3 linked regions of the Arabidopsis thaliana genome follow. The protein of the gene in region 2 interacts with the protein of the main gene of each other region in a pairwise test. Each region holds a gene or a part of one and is shown on either strand. Other genes may lie near its edges.

Region 1 (3,759 bases), about 19 Mb from region 2:
GTTAAGCTTAAATGTAAAAAAGACAGAAGCATAAACTAGAAGCAACAGAAGCTGATTACAAGTACGATCCGGGTAAAAGACAAACAAAATAAAATAAAAAGACTAAAAAAAAAAGGCAAACCAAAATTAAAAACATTAACTAAGCAAACAAAAGATCCATTGATTGATCCAAAGATCGTACAAACTACAAAAACCTAGAAGAAGGAAAACATTAAATAAACAACAACAACAAAAGTAGATTAAAAGAAAATCTCTTACATAATCTCTCAATTAATCATATGATCACTGATTAGAGAGTAGTTGTTGGTGTTGGTGGTTTCTTAGCATTGTTCTTGTTGTTATGCATCCAAACTTTGAAGACTTGTCTCTTCACTCCGATCTCGCCGCAGAATCTCTTAAGCTCTTCTTCGTCTTGCTTGTTCATCCTCCACCCTAGCTTCTCCGCAAAGTCCATCATCCTCTCCTTCTGATCCGTCGTGAACTTTGTCCTGAATCTTTTCTTAGACGACGACATCGAAAACGCCATTTGTCCCGCCGCCGCACCAGCTCCTTCTCCGCTTGATTGTCCGTACAGATTCAGATCTTCACTAGACGACTCAGCTCCTCCTCCTCCACCGCCGTAAGCAACGCTCATCGGCGTCACCATTCCTCCTCCTCCGGGAGGACTCATTCCATACTTGTGGTGGTGAATCGGCTGATAATTCGGTGGCGGAGGAAGCATGAGTGGGTTAAGCATCATATTCGGCGGCGGAGGTCTTCTCCCTCCTCCTCCACCGTATTGGTTATGGTGGTAGTGGTGATGACGGTGGTGAGAGATCAAATCCGAGCTTCCAACGCCGTCCATTTCTTTCCGGTGGAAATTACGGTGACAATCACAAGCAGCGCATCTGAGAGCTTCGATTGTTCCTTCTTCACCACTCGGCATAAACTCGCCGCATCCGTCGTGAACACTTCCGCCGACGCTCGCCGCATGATTCTTTAGACACTCACGGTATCTTACGGTGGGTTTAGCTGCGGCGGAGATGGAAAACGAAGAGGGAGACTTGGATTGGTGGTGATCTAGGGTTTGAGAGTTGCAAGAGACACGAGTGTTGTTGTTATTACCATTGCAATTATCATCAATATTAGTACTAATGATGTTACTAATAACAACACCACCATTGTTGTTGCCATTGTCTTCTCTTCTTCTCTCTATCATTTCATGGCTTCTCATATCCATTTTTTTTCTTGGAGATTAATAAATTAAAACCCAAAAGGATCTTAATTAAAAGAGATCAACAAAATAAAAAAGACTTTTTCTTCAATGAAGTTTATGCCTGAAAAAGAACATGATAATGAGATTACTAATAAGGCAAAAAAGAAAACTAAATGGCAGTGAGAATCAGAGACTTACAGAGGAGATAAGATGAACAAGTACACGAGGAAAAACCCAGTTTTTGCAGGACCTTAAACTCATTTAAAGCTCAAAGCTTTTTGCTTGTGAAGGGTTTTAATGGAGAGAGAGAGAGAATAGAAGAGATTTGAGGAACTTTTGGGATTAAACTAAAAGGAGGTTTTTAGGGCTAAATTGGTTTTTTTAAGAGTGAAAGAAAGAAGAAACCATGTTTGATGTCTCAGTGCTCCCAACAAGCCAACCTTTGAGATCGGATTATAAGAGACAATTTGGTTGCTTGTGGTGAGGCCATGAGAGAAAGAGATAAGAGCTGAGCCCTTTGTGAGAGATGACACTAATGTCATACCCTACTACTATATACTTATACTTATTAAGTACTTCTTTATTATACTTCTTCCATTAATCTGTATTTATCATTTTAGTATTATATTTTTAAATGCGCTTTTATAACCTTTTTATATATATTTATGAGGGCTTCTATATTTTTAATGAGAAGAGAATTTCTGAATTACTATTTCGATTATTTGTGTGTGTTTACAAGAGATTTATCCTATAATATTGTTACTTTATAGTACTTTAGAGCAGAATGTGATTTGTAGTTTATTTACTGACCCTTTTACTATCAAACTTAATCATAAAGACAGATTAAAATGAAAAAGAAAATATACAGAAAAATAATAATATGGGAAACTATTATTTTGTGGTTTTTGGCTAATTAATTATTATTTTTACTCTATAGTTAACAGGAATAATTGTAATTTTTTTAAGATATGTGGAAATTTGTCACAGTTTTTTGGAAACAGATGTACTTCTGGCTATATTGAGTTCAATCTTCAAGTTAATGCGAGTCCGATAGAGTGTCCTCCTGATTATATATGTCTTTTTTTTCTATATGAGAGTATCCAAAAAGTTTTAGTAGTTCTTAACATTGCATAATTAATATTCGTTGAATCAAATGATTTATTTTTGTATGAATTGATTGGTCTAGTACTACTCTAAACACATAGTGGTTGAATAGTAACTTGAAGCACAAAATTTCGTAATATGTGTAACTCGCATGAAACTGATGCAATAATTGACATTCTATCTCGGGTTTTTATGAGCTCATTTTTACTGTGTACAGTACGTCATTAACGCGTTTACTATAAATAAATTTGCAAAAATATAGTACTACTTGAAAATTGGAGAAAAATTATACAACAAAAAAGCTGGATAATGCACCGAAATGGGCTTAGACTGTTGCTTGTATGTTCAAATAGTTAATCTCTTGTAAGCATACTATATTAAACAATTTTAATAGTCAACCTAATATTAATTTAACTAAAACATTGTAATTTGTGCCAAATGGATCATATGTAGTAACTTGATGGTATCGGATAATCTTATTACGTAATCTTTGTTTCTGTATTTTACTATTTTTCTATATAGATTGTGTTTTTGTCACTATATACCTTGAAACTGTTGGATAATACTCTTATCTGTAGACATAATTTAGCACAAACAAAGTAACTACATGATTTGAATTAGCTAAATTTCCTTAATTAAGATGAAATAATGAGATATATTCATTTTAAAATGAAAGAAAAAAGAGAGAGAGAGGTGTGTGGGTTGCAGAGAAGGGCAGTGCAGAGAACAACCGACAAGGTCAAGTTGGAAGCCCAGCCACATGCCCTGCCACATTATGGGCCCCCTTCTCTCTCTCTCTTCCCTCCTTCTTCATTATTACATCCCTCTCTCTCGCTCCTTAATCTTTTTTTTTCAAACCCTAATTTGTCCAAACACCATTTCTTCTTACTCATGTCTTTTCTTCTTTCCTATTTCACTCTACCCCTTTTTACTTTTCCTTTTAATATACTATATAAAATTACTTGTTATTATTAAAATGTTTTTACAAGTATAATACAACTTGTATAGTCTTCATCAAGATTAATAATACTCAAGAAAGCCATATTTTGTGGACCATGTCGTCCTAGCATGGAGATGTTTTCCTATTGAAAGCTTAATCACAGGCTCTACTGTAATGATATCTCATCAGTACGTTCATCAATATACGACTAATAGTCTAATTAGTTTCACAAATTATCTATGCGTACGTACGTGTGAATAATTAGACATGCAGATTAGTTCATTTCATTAATTAATGCTTGTTCTAATTGGCTCTACATTCATATTAGTTACTTTGAGAAGATGGAAAATACAAGAATATATATCACAACGTCAAATGCAATAATCCATGCGTTTGAATAAATGTTAAAGATGGTCGCAAAACAAAACAATCTTCAGATTAATTTTAGTTTTGATAAGAACAACAAAAAAAGTAATCGTCATAGCCTCTGCAGAATTTCCCATGGACAACCTGTCACACG
Region 2 (3,759 bases):
CTGGATATTAGTTGTACGATATAAAAGCACATGGTTCAGACTTTTTTTAATGTCTAATCATATGGCCCATATGATTGATTAATTATCATATAATATGATGAATATTTCCCCCATTAATTCTCTTACATCACATTACCCAAAAAAACTACTAGCTTAGTTGGTGCATATAGACTAAATATAGATTCTTGAAACATGAATTGGTTCATCTGACCACTTAAAGAAAACGAAAATTTTAATACAAACAAGAACAGATCGACCACATTCAATTGTATTGTTGCTGGTCAAGCCATGGCCAGAACCCAGACTGGTCATCAATTCCACAGAACATGTTACTGATACTGTTCTCTTCTTTCACCATTCTCTGTTCTGACGATGAATTCTGAAAAAACTGCATCGTTGTAGTTGTCGGTGGATGGCCTAGGGCGAATTGGCTATCGATCTCCGGTGGCCTGATGTCACCAGAAATGTTCTCACTTCTGTCACTACATGATCCTTCTGTTTCTTTGTTCAGATTGATTGATTCTATTGGTTCTCTGCTTTTCAATGCCATTACCTGCATAATTTACACAAACTATTTAAGAAAGAACGTAAAATTGCAAAATGATTCCAAATTATGTTTTGACCTAAAACAAATATATTCCAAATTATGAATTCGAAACTGAAAGAATAACATCAATAAAAAACAAAAAAGAGCATTGTTTTTATAAAATTCAACTAAAAAAGATTCATATTTTATGAAATATATGATTTAAAAAACAGAGTATTTAAGATTAAAAAAGAAACAGAGTACTTTTGTGTTATGAAGTTTCTGCTTTTACCTGAGCTTGAAGCTTTTGATTTTGAGTTTGAAGAACTTCGTTCTCATCTCTGAGACTTTCGAATTGACGCTTAAGCATGTCATAGTCTTTCTCAAGCTGCTTGGTTTTGGATCGAGCTCTTCTGTTTTGGAACCATATAGCAATTTGTCTAGGTTGCAATCCCAAGGCACGAGCTAGCTCTAATTTTCGATCTGATTCAAGTTTATTACCAAGCTCAAAGTCCTTCTCTAGTGCCTTCAATTGTTCCATGTTCAATCTCCTCTTCTTCTCTCCCATCTTAGATCCATCGTCTGAATATTCTTCATCTCCGTTCATATCTAGATTACAAAACCCTTGCACGTTGTTCATTGGAGATCTTTTACCTAGAAACCCTAAAAACAGAGAAGATCTTGAGAAGTAGAAAAAAAAAGGATTAGAAATTTTGAACAAAGGTGTTAATTGAGATGATGTACCATGGAAGTCTTGAAGAAGTTGAGGGTGATCTTCTTCTTCTTGGTGATGGTTTTGGAGACTGAAATTTTCAGGGAAGAAAGCTAAGCCATTATTATTACAAGACATGTCTCTTGTTGGTTGTTTTCTTCTTCTCCTCTCCACCACCTTGTCTTGGTTCAAAGTACAGAAAGAAAACTAAATAAAGAAGAAGAAGGATGGTGGTGAAATGAATTAGAAGACTGAGTATACACCACTTATAGGCTAAATACTAGCTAGATTAGAAAATTTGGTTTTATTTTGTTTATTATATGAGTATATAAAATAGGAGACAAGACTCAAAGCCGATGAGACAGAGAGGTAGACATGGGATGATTATAGTCTTTGGAGGGGTGGAATATGGGCTTTTGTATGTTTTGGAAAATCCCTAATTTTACTACGTTGTATCCGTTTTGGTAGATTACGGATATGTACTATGTAGTTTTTCATATCAAGTATTTTTAAAGATAATTCTTGTTTTTTACGAATAGAAAGACAGATATATCATAGTCATACTAATTATATATGTATATTTTTCTATTATAGAATTTTTGAAACGAAATTCATAATAATCTCCGGACATTGTGAAAGATAGCATATTCTTGCAATTTAAGATGTTTACAGTGGTCAACCATGATTGATATTACAGTGAATTGATTAGATTATGGTCACTCAATTTAATAGTAATTTTTTCAACCACTAGATTATCATAATTAATTTATTGTGAATATATTTAATTCAGATGTGTATAATTAAATATGTACCGTAATGAACAATTTGAGTATTTGTAACAAATACTTCAAATTTTGGGAGTTTATAGATCTAGATACTCTTACCACTTTCTCTTCAAAAAAAGAGTTGAATTTAAATATGATATGTAAAAAAAACTGATATTCTTAATGAAATATTTCAAAGTTGATATCTAATTAAAATTTCTTTTAACAGCATGCCCTACATAAGCATTTGGATGGTTGCATGCATAAGTGTTCAAGTCAATGGAATTTTATTTCTAACGAGAACTAAAACTAGTGATTTTGGTCGTCAAGAAGTATATGCAAGCAAACTCTTAGAGGCCCTACATGGTATCACTTGTCTATGTCTCAATGATATGAAATGAAAGCAAACTCTAAGGTCCTACATGGTAACTCTCACTAGTCTATGATATGATTAGACTTCTTCTTTTTAAAACCTTTTACAACATAACATGACTTTTTCTCTATGGTAGGTAAACATACTTTCGGGGGACACAAAAAGCTCTTCATCACCGCAGATTGTGTTTTGACACAAAGCCCATTTTATATGCGAGGCCGGTTTCTTCCTTCTTCTTCTTCTCTTTCTCAGGTCCCCCACTTATCAACTTTCTTAGACGTTTTGGTCGGTTTTATGATAAAATACTTTAATATAGGCCCAACTACTGTATAAATTGGTCTCCCTATCAAATCATTTTGTAATCAACAAGTCTATATTCTACAAGTTTAAATATTTTTGTTGAAACTATTTTATAAATTACCACGAGTTGTTCTTTTTTGTGTGTTTTAACCTCAATTGTATTTATCTAAAAGCATAAACTATTTATTCTATGAATTTTTTATGTTGCATGAGATATGAAAAGTGCAATTCAACGACATACAAACAAACGCATATAAATAAATATGCTCAATTTTTCATTTAGTATCAAAAGGTGTACACAAAATATATATTTTTTCATTTTTTTGCTTAATAAAAAATCACATTGCAAGCCTATTCCTTCTTAATGTATTATGCAATCTTAAATTGTAGTATACACATATGGCTAAGGCCAATTGTTGAAATGGAAAAACAACTTGTATATTTTCTTGAGTATTAGTTTTTTTGGGGGGACAAACTTGAGTATTGTTTAATGTTGGTATATATGTTTGCGAGAACAAGCCAAATCACACACTACAATAACAGAAAAAGAGGAGCTTTGCGGGACGAGTACGGGGATTGGCGAGGAAGTTTTGCCCTGAATTTAGGGCGGTGCACGGCTCCGTTAGCAGAGCTTTGGGGTGTGTACTACGGGTTGGTTATAGCTTGGGAGAAGGGTATAACGCGGCTGGAGCTTGAGGTAGATTCAAAATTGGTGGCTGGTTTTCTCACGACAGGGATAGAAGACTCTCATCTGTTGTCATTCCTAGTACGTTTGTGCTATGGCTTCTCATCAAAGGACTGGATAGTCCGAGTTTCGCATGTTTATCGGGAAGCTAACCGTTTTGCTGACGAGTTAGCAAACTATGCTTTTAGTTTACTTTTAGGCTTTCTTTCTTTTGACTCAGGTCTTCCGTTTGTCGATTCGATTATGCGTGAGGATGCTGCAGGTGTTGCTGGGGCTAGACATGTGCCCATGTAATTTTTTATTTTTGGTTCTATTGAATAAAGACGGCAGTCCCTCCCGTTGGTTTACCAAAAAAAAAATAACAGAAAATGAAAGGAAGTCTAGCCAGGAACTGGGCCA
Region 3 (3,759 bases), on a different chromosome or scaffold from region 2:
CTCCGCCGTTGATCTTCGTAAGATCGGTGTCTCCGGGAGAAAAGCTAGTTACCTCCACGATCTAGCTGATAAATACAACAACGGTGTGCTTTCTGATGAATTGATTCTGAAAATGAGTGATGAAGAGTTGATTGATAGGTTAACTTTGGTTAAAGGAATTGGAGTGTGGACTGTTCATATGTTTATGATCTTCTCGTTGCATAGACCTGATGTGTTGCCTGTGGGAGATCTTGGTGTGAGGAAAGGTGTGAAAGATCTTTATGGTTTGAAAAATCTTCCAGGTCCATTGCAAATGGAGCAGCTTTGTGAGAAATGGCGTCCTTATAGGTCTGTTGGTTCATGGTACATGTGGAGACTAATCGAGTCTCGTAAGACCAAATAGCACCTGCCTGGTAATAGTTTAACAATACCTCTCTTTTTAGGTTGATAGTAACTAGAATTGTTATGTTACATAGACAAACTTGATTCTTTATAGAATATTTCATGCTTGACTTGGAAATTTGAACAGTTACATGATTAGAAAGGATAGGAGTATAACATTTGTTTGACATTAAGTTCTCTGGATTGGTTTTTGTTTGGAATGCTTTCTAGAAGTAGAAATCTCCCAAATCTTAAAACAAGAATCATAAAGTATTTATCTTTTCTTGATGTATCTTGTTTATCTAGCAATAGTATCAATCCTAGTAAGTAACATGACGATACTTTATCACTGAAGCTTCTATATCTGGTAGTTATCGTTGAAGTGTGATTTGTTGCAATCAATCATTTCAGTAATCGGGCAGTTAATATGATCCTGTGACGAAGAAGCTTTTCCATGCCCATCACTTCCTTTCCAAGTTTCACTTGCTGGTAATCTGAGTTATTTTGTGTCTGTAAATTATGGAGCACGTAAGAAAAATCCTTCTTGTATTTTAACTGTATTCCACGGATTATATTTCTGTGACTGTTGTAAACATGTATCATGTATGGGGTTTCATTTGACTTGGATATTGAGAAGCATGGCTTATTTACCAAGTCTTTTGTTTCTGTCTTGTACTGGGCTTGGCCCAATGTCTCATCCGGCCCAATTGATCAAGTGGTAGATAGCTTGGATCTGATTTTGCCAAGACAGATGTGAAATCAACCCTTGCTTTCTTTTAACTTAAAATAGTTATAGGAAGAAATTACTCTTATTCAGAGAGACGAATTTAAAAGTCTAAGATGTCACGCGTAACATTCAAACCTCTTAATAAAAGTTTAGTATATGGCTAATCTATTCCCGTTGATTGATTTCAATATTTGGTAAGAAATGAAGATGATCATAAAAGTGCTACACAGCTGTGGGAAACAAAGAATCTGAAAAATGAGACATGAGGCATGTGGAGATAAATAAAAGTGCAGGTTTTGTTGTGCTTATGTGGACCAGCTTTTCATTCTTTCACACTTTTAATTCTTCAACCCTCCCCACCAGAAAAATAATTTATCATGTCTTCTCTTTCAAGACTATCATTAAACTCTGATTGTTAAAGCTTATTTCATTAAACAACTCTATTAGAAACCCTAATTCCATTTGTATGGGAAATTGAAGCTATAGTAGTTAACTTCTAACTCCATGCAAACCATAAATACCTCTCATAATGATAGTAAGAGTATTATTTTCTCATTGATTATCACAATAAATCTGATCAAAGAATTTGTGGAGATCGATAAATAAAGATACTCCTACTATTATTATGACAGCATAAAGGATTGACAAACATTGTTGTTCGAAGTTTTAATCTATTTTATGATATGTTAGAACTTAAAATCATAGTCCTAAAAATTTATAACTAACAATACATAAGACATAATTTTAACTTACATTAGAAAAAAGTTTTGAAAACTAACCCATTTAACTAATTTAAAATAATCCCATAACTTTCCTCTCATTTATCTCTCTCTCTCCACTCCTCAAGTCTGTACTTAGTAGGTAATAGTTTGACTAAGCTAGGTTTTTTTGCAGACATACATTAATTAGTAACACCATCAATAATCATCATAAAAGAAAATAGAGAGAAAGAGAGATAAATGCAATAATGGGAGATGGACCAAAGGTGCAGGTGGTGAAAGATAACAAACATATGACAATGTCTCGAAATTAAGAGGCACCACCACACATACACACACACTCTCTCTCTCTAGTAGGTTTGTGTTTTTAAAATCAATATTTTTGTTGGATTCTCATGTGAAATAAAACTTGATGGGTGATAGGAAACAAACACACATACGTCATCATCATCCTTAATTTCTATTTCTCCTTCTTCTTCATCATCAATATCAATCTCATCTTCCACTACTCCTCCCCTCTAACAATAAGCAGCATCTCTATAATCCCTAAGGTGAGTCCAAAAGTCGTCTATTAATTATTAAAGGAGAGATTTTTGCATGCATTATTGAATGATTTATAAGTATTAATATTTAACAAAGTTTTGTTGTTTTGGGTCAGATTCACAATGGAGCTTGGAGGAAAATGCAATGCAATTACAACCACAACAATGATCTCAACAGAAGTAAAGCCACATACGGATCCGGAACCAGAAGCCAAACCCGAATCAGATCCATCCATGGCTTTATTCCCGATCAAGAAAGAAAACCAAAAACCAAAGACACGTGTCGACCAAGGAGCTAAGTACCGGGAATGTCAGAAGAACCACGCGGCCTCAACCGGAGGACACGTGGTGGACGGATGCTGCGAGTTCATGGCCGGCGGAGAAGAAGGTACACTCGGTGCTTTAAAATGCGCCGCCTGTAACTGTCACCGGAGCTTCCACCGGAAAGAAGTGTACGGACACAGGAACAGTAAACAAGATCATCAGCTGATGATAACTCCGGCGTTTTACAGCAGTAACAGCTCGTACAAGCCACGTGTAATGCATCCAACGGGTGAGATTGGACGGAGGACTTCATCTTCAAGCGAGGATATGAAGAAGATTCTGAGTCATCGTAACCAAAACGTTGATGGGAAAAGTTTGATGATGATGATGATGAGGAAGAAGAAGAGAGTGAGGACAAAGATCAATGAAGAACAAAAGGAGAAGATGAAGGAATTTGCAGAGAGATTAGGGTGGAGGATGCAGAAGAAAGATGAAGAAGAGATTGATAAGTTTTGTAGGATGGTGAATCTGAGGAGACAAGTTTTTAAGGTTTGGATGCATAATAACAAGCAAGCAATGAAGAGAAACAATAGTAACATTAGTGAATAGTTTGATGATCTGATAAAAGTGAAATAAATTTTTACAATCCTGTTTTGCTTTTATATATAATTTTTGCCCTTCAAATTATTCAAAATCTTGAGTATAAATCTGTGGAATCTTGTATGTTTTGATTGTTTTATATTGTATCTGGGATTATTTTTTTCTTTTACTTAATTTGTGGTTGAACAAAGTGATAAAATTGGACCTTCAAATAAAGAGGGAAAAACGTGTGTAATTAATAATTTAATGCACAAGTATGGTTAGTACAATTAGCTGGAATAGCTCAGTTGGTTAGAGCGTGTGGCTGTTAACCACAAGGTCGGAGGTTCGACCCCTCCTTCTAGCGTTTTTTATCCTTCAAATGGCTGTTTTAAAATTCTGATTCATACTTTTTTTTTTCTGTCTGAATAGAAAGTTGATTTTGTTTGAAAAATCTGATTCATAATCATGTACATGCATGATAACAGTCTGATGTTAAACCATCGTAAGGAGCAGATTTAGCATTCTAGAATAGATCTATTCTGCTTACTTTTACCCCAAATTTAGA

What was found.
Region 1: the proteins of AtHB23 (region 2) and HB33 interact in a two-hybrid assay, tested with the Arabidopsis thaliana proteins (one study listed by BioGRID).
Region 3: the proteins of AtHB23 (region 2) and HB28 interact in a two-hybrid assay, tested with the Arabidopsis thaliana proteins (one study listed by BioGRID).

Annotation. Positions count from the first base shown.
Region 1 is NC_003070.9:28,239,036-28,242,794, reverse strand, and holds the start of HB33 (homeobox protein 33), read right to left. Parts: upstream 1,785-3,759; 5' UTR 1,394-1,784; intron 1,317-1,393; 5' UTR 1,220-1,316; coding exon 290-1,219; 3' UTR 1-289. UniProt on the Arabidopsis thaliana protein: Putative transcription factor. Binds DNA at 5'-ATTA-3' consensus promoter regions. Regulates floral architecture and leaf development. Regulators in the abscisic acid (ABA) signal pathway that confers sensitivity to ABA in an ARF2-dependent manner.
Region 2 is NC_003070.9:9,353,743-9,357,501, reverse strand, and holds the start of AtHB23 (homeobox protein 23), read right to left. Parts: upstream 1,676-3,759; 5' UTR 1,377-1,675; coding exon 1,271-1,376; intron 1,190-1,270; coding exon 819-1,189; intron 554-818; coding exon 263-553; 3' UTR 1-262. UniProt on the Arabidopsis thaliana protein: Probable transcription factor.
Region 3 is NC_003074.8:18,913,949-18,917,707, forward strand, and holds HB28 (homeobox protein 28), read left to right. Parts: upstream 1-2,065; 5' UTR 2,066-2,357; intron 2,358-2,464; 5' UTR 2,465-2,471; coding exon 2,472-3,221; 3' UTR 3,222-3,438; downstream 3,439-3,759. Other genes in the region: AT3G50880 (DNA glycosylase superfamily protein), read left to right, coding at 1-382.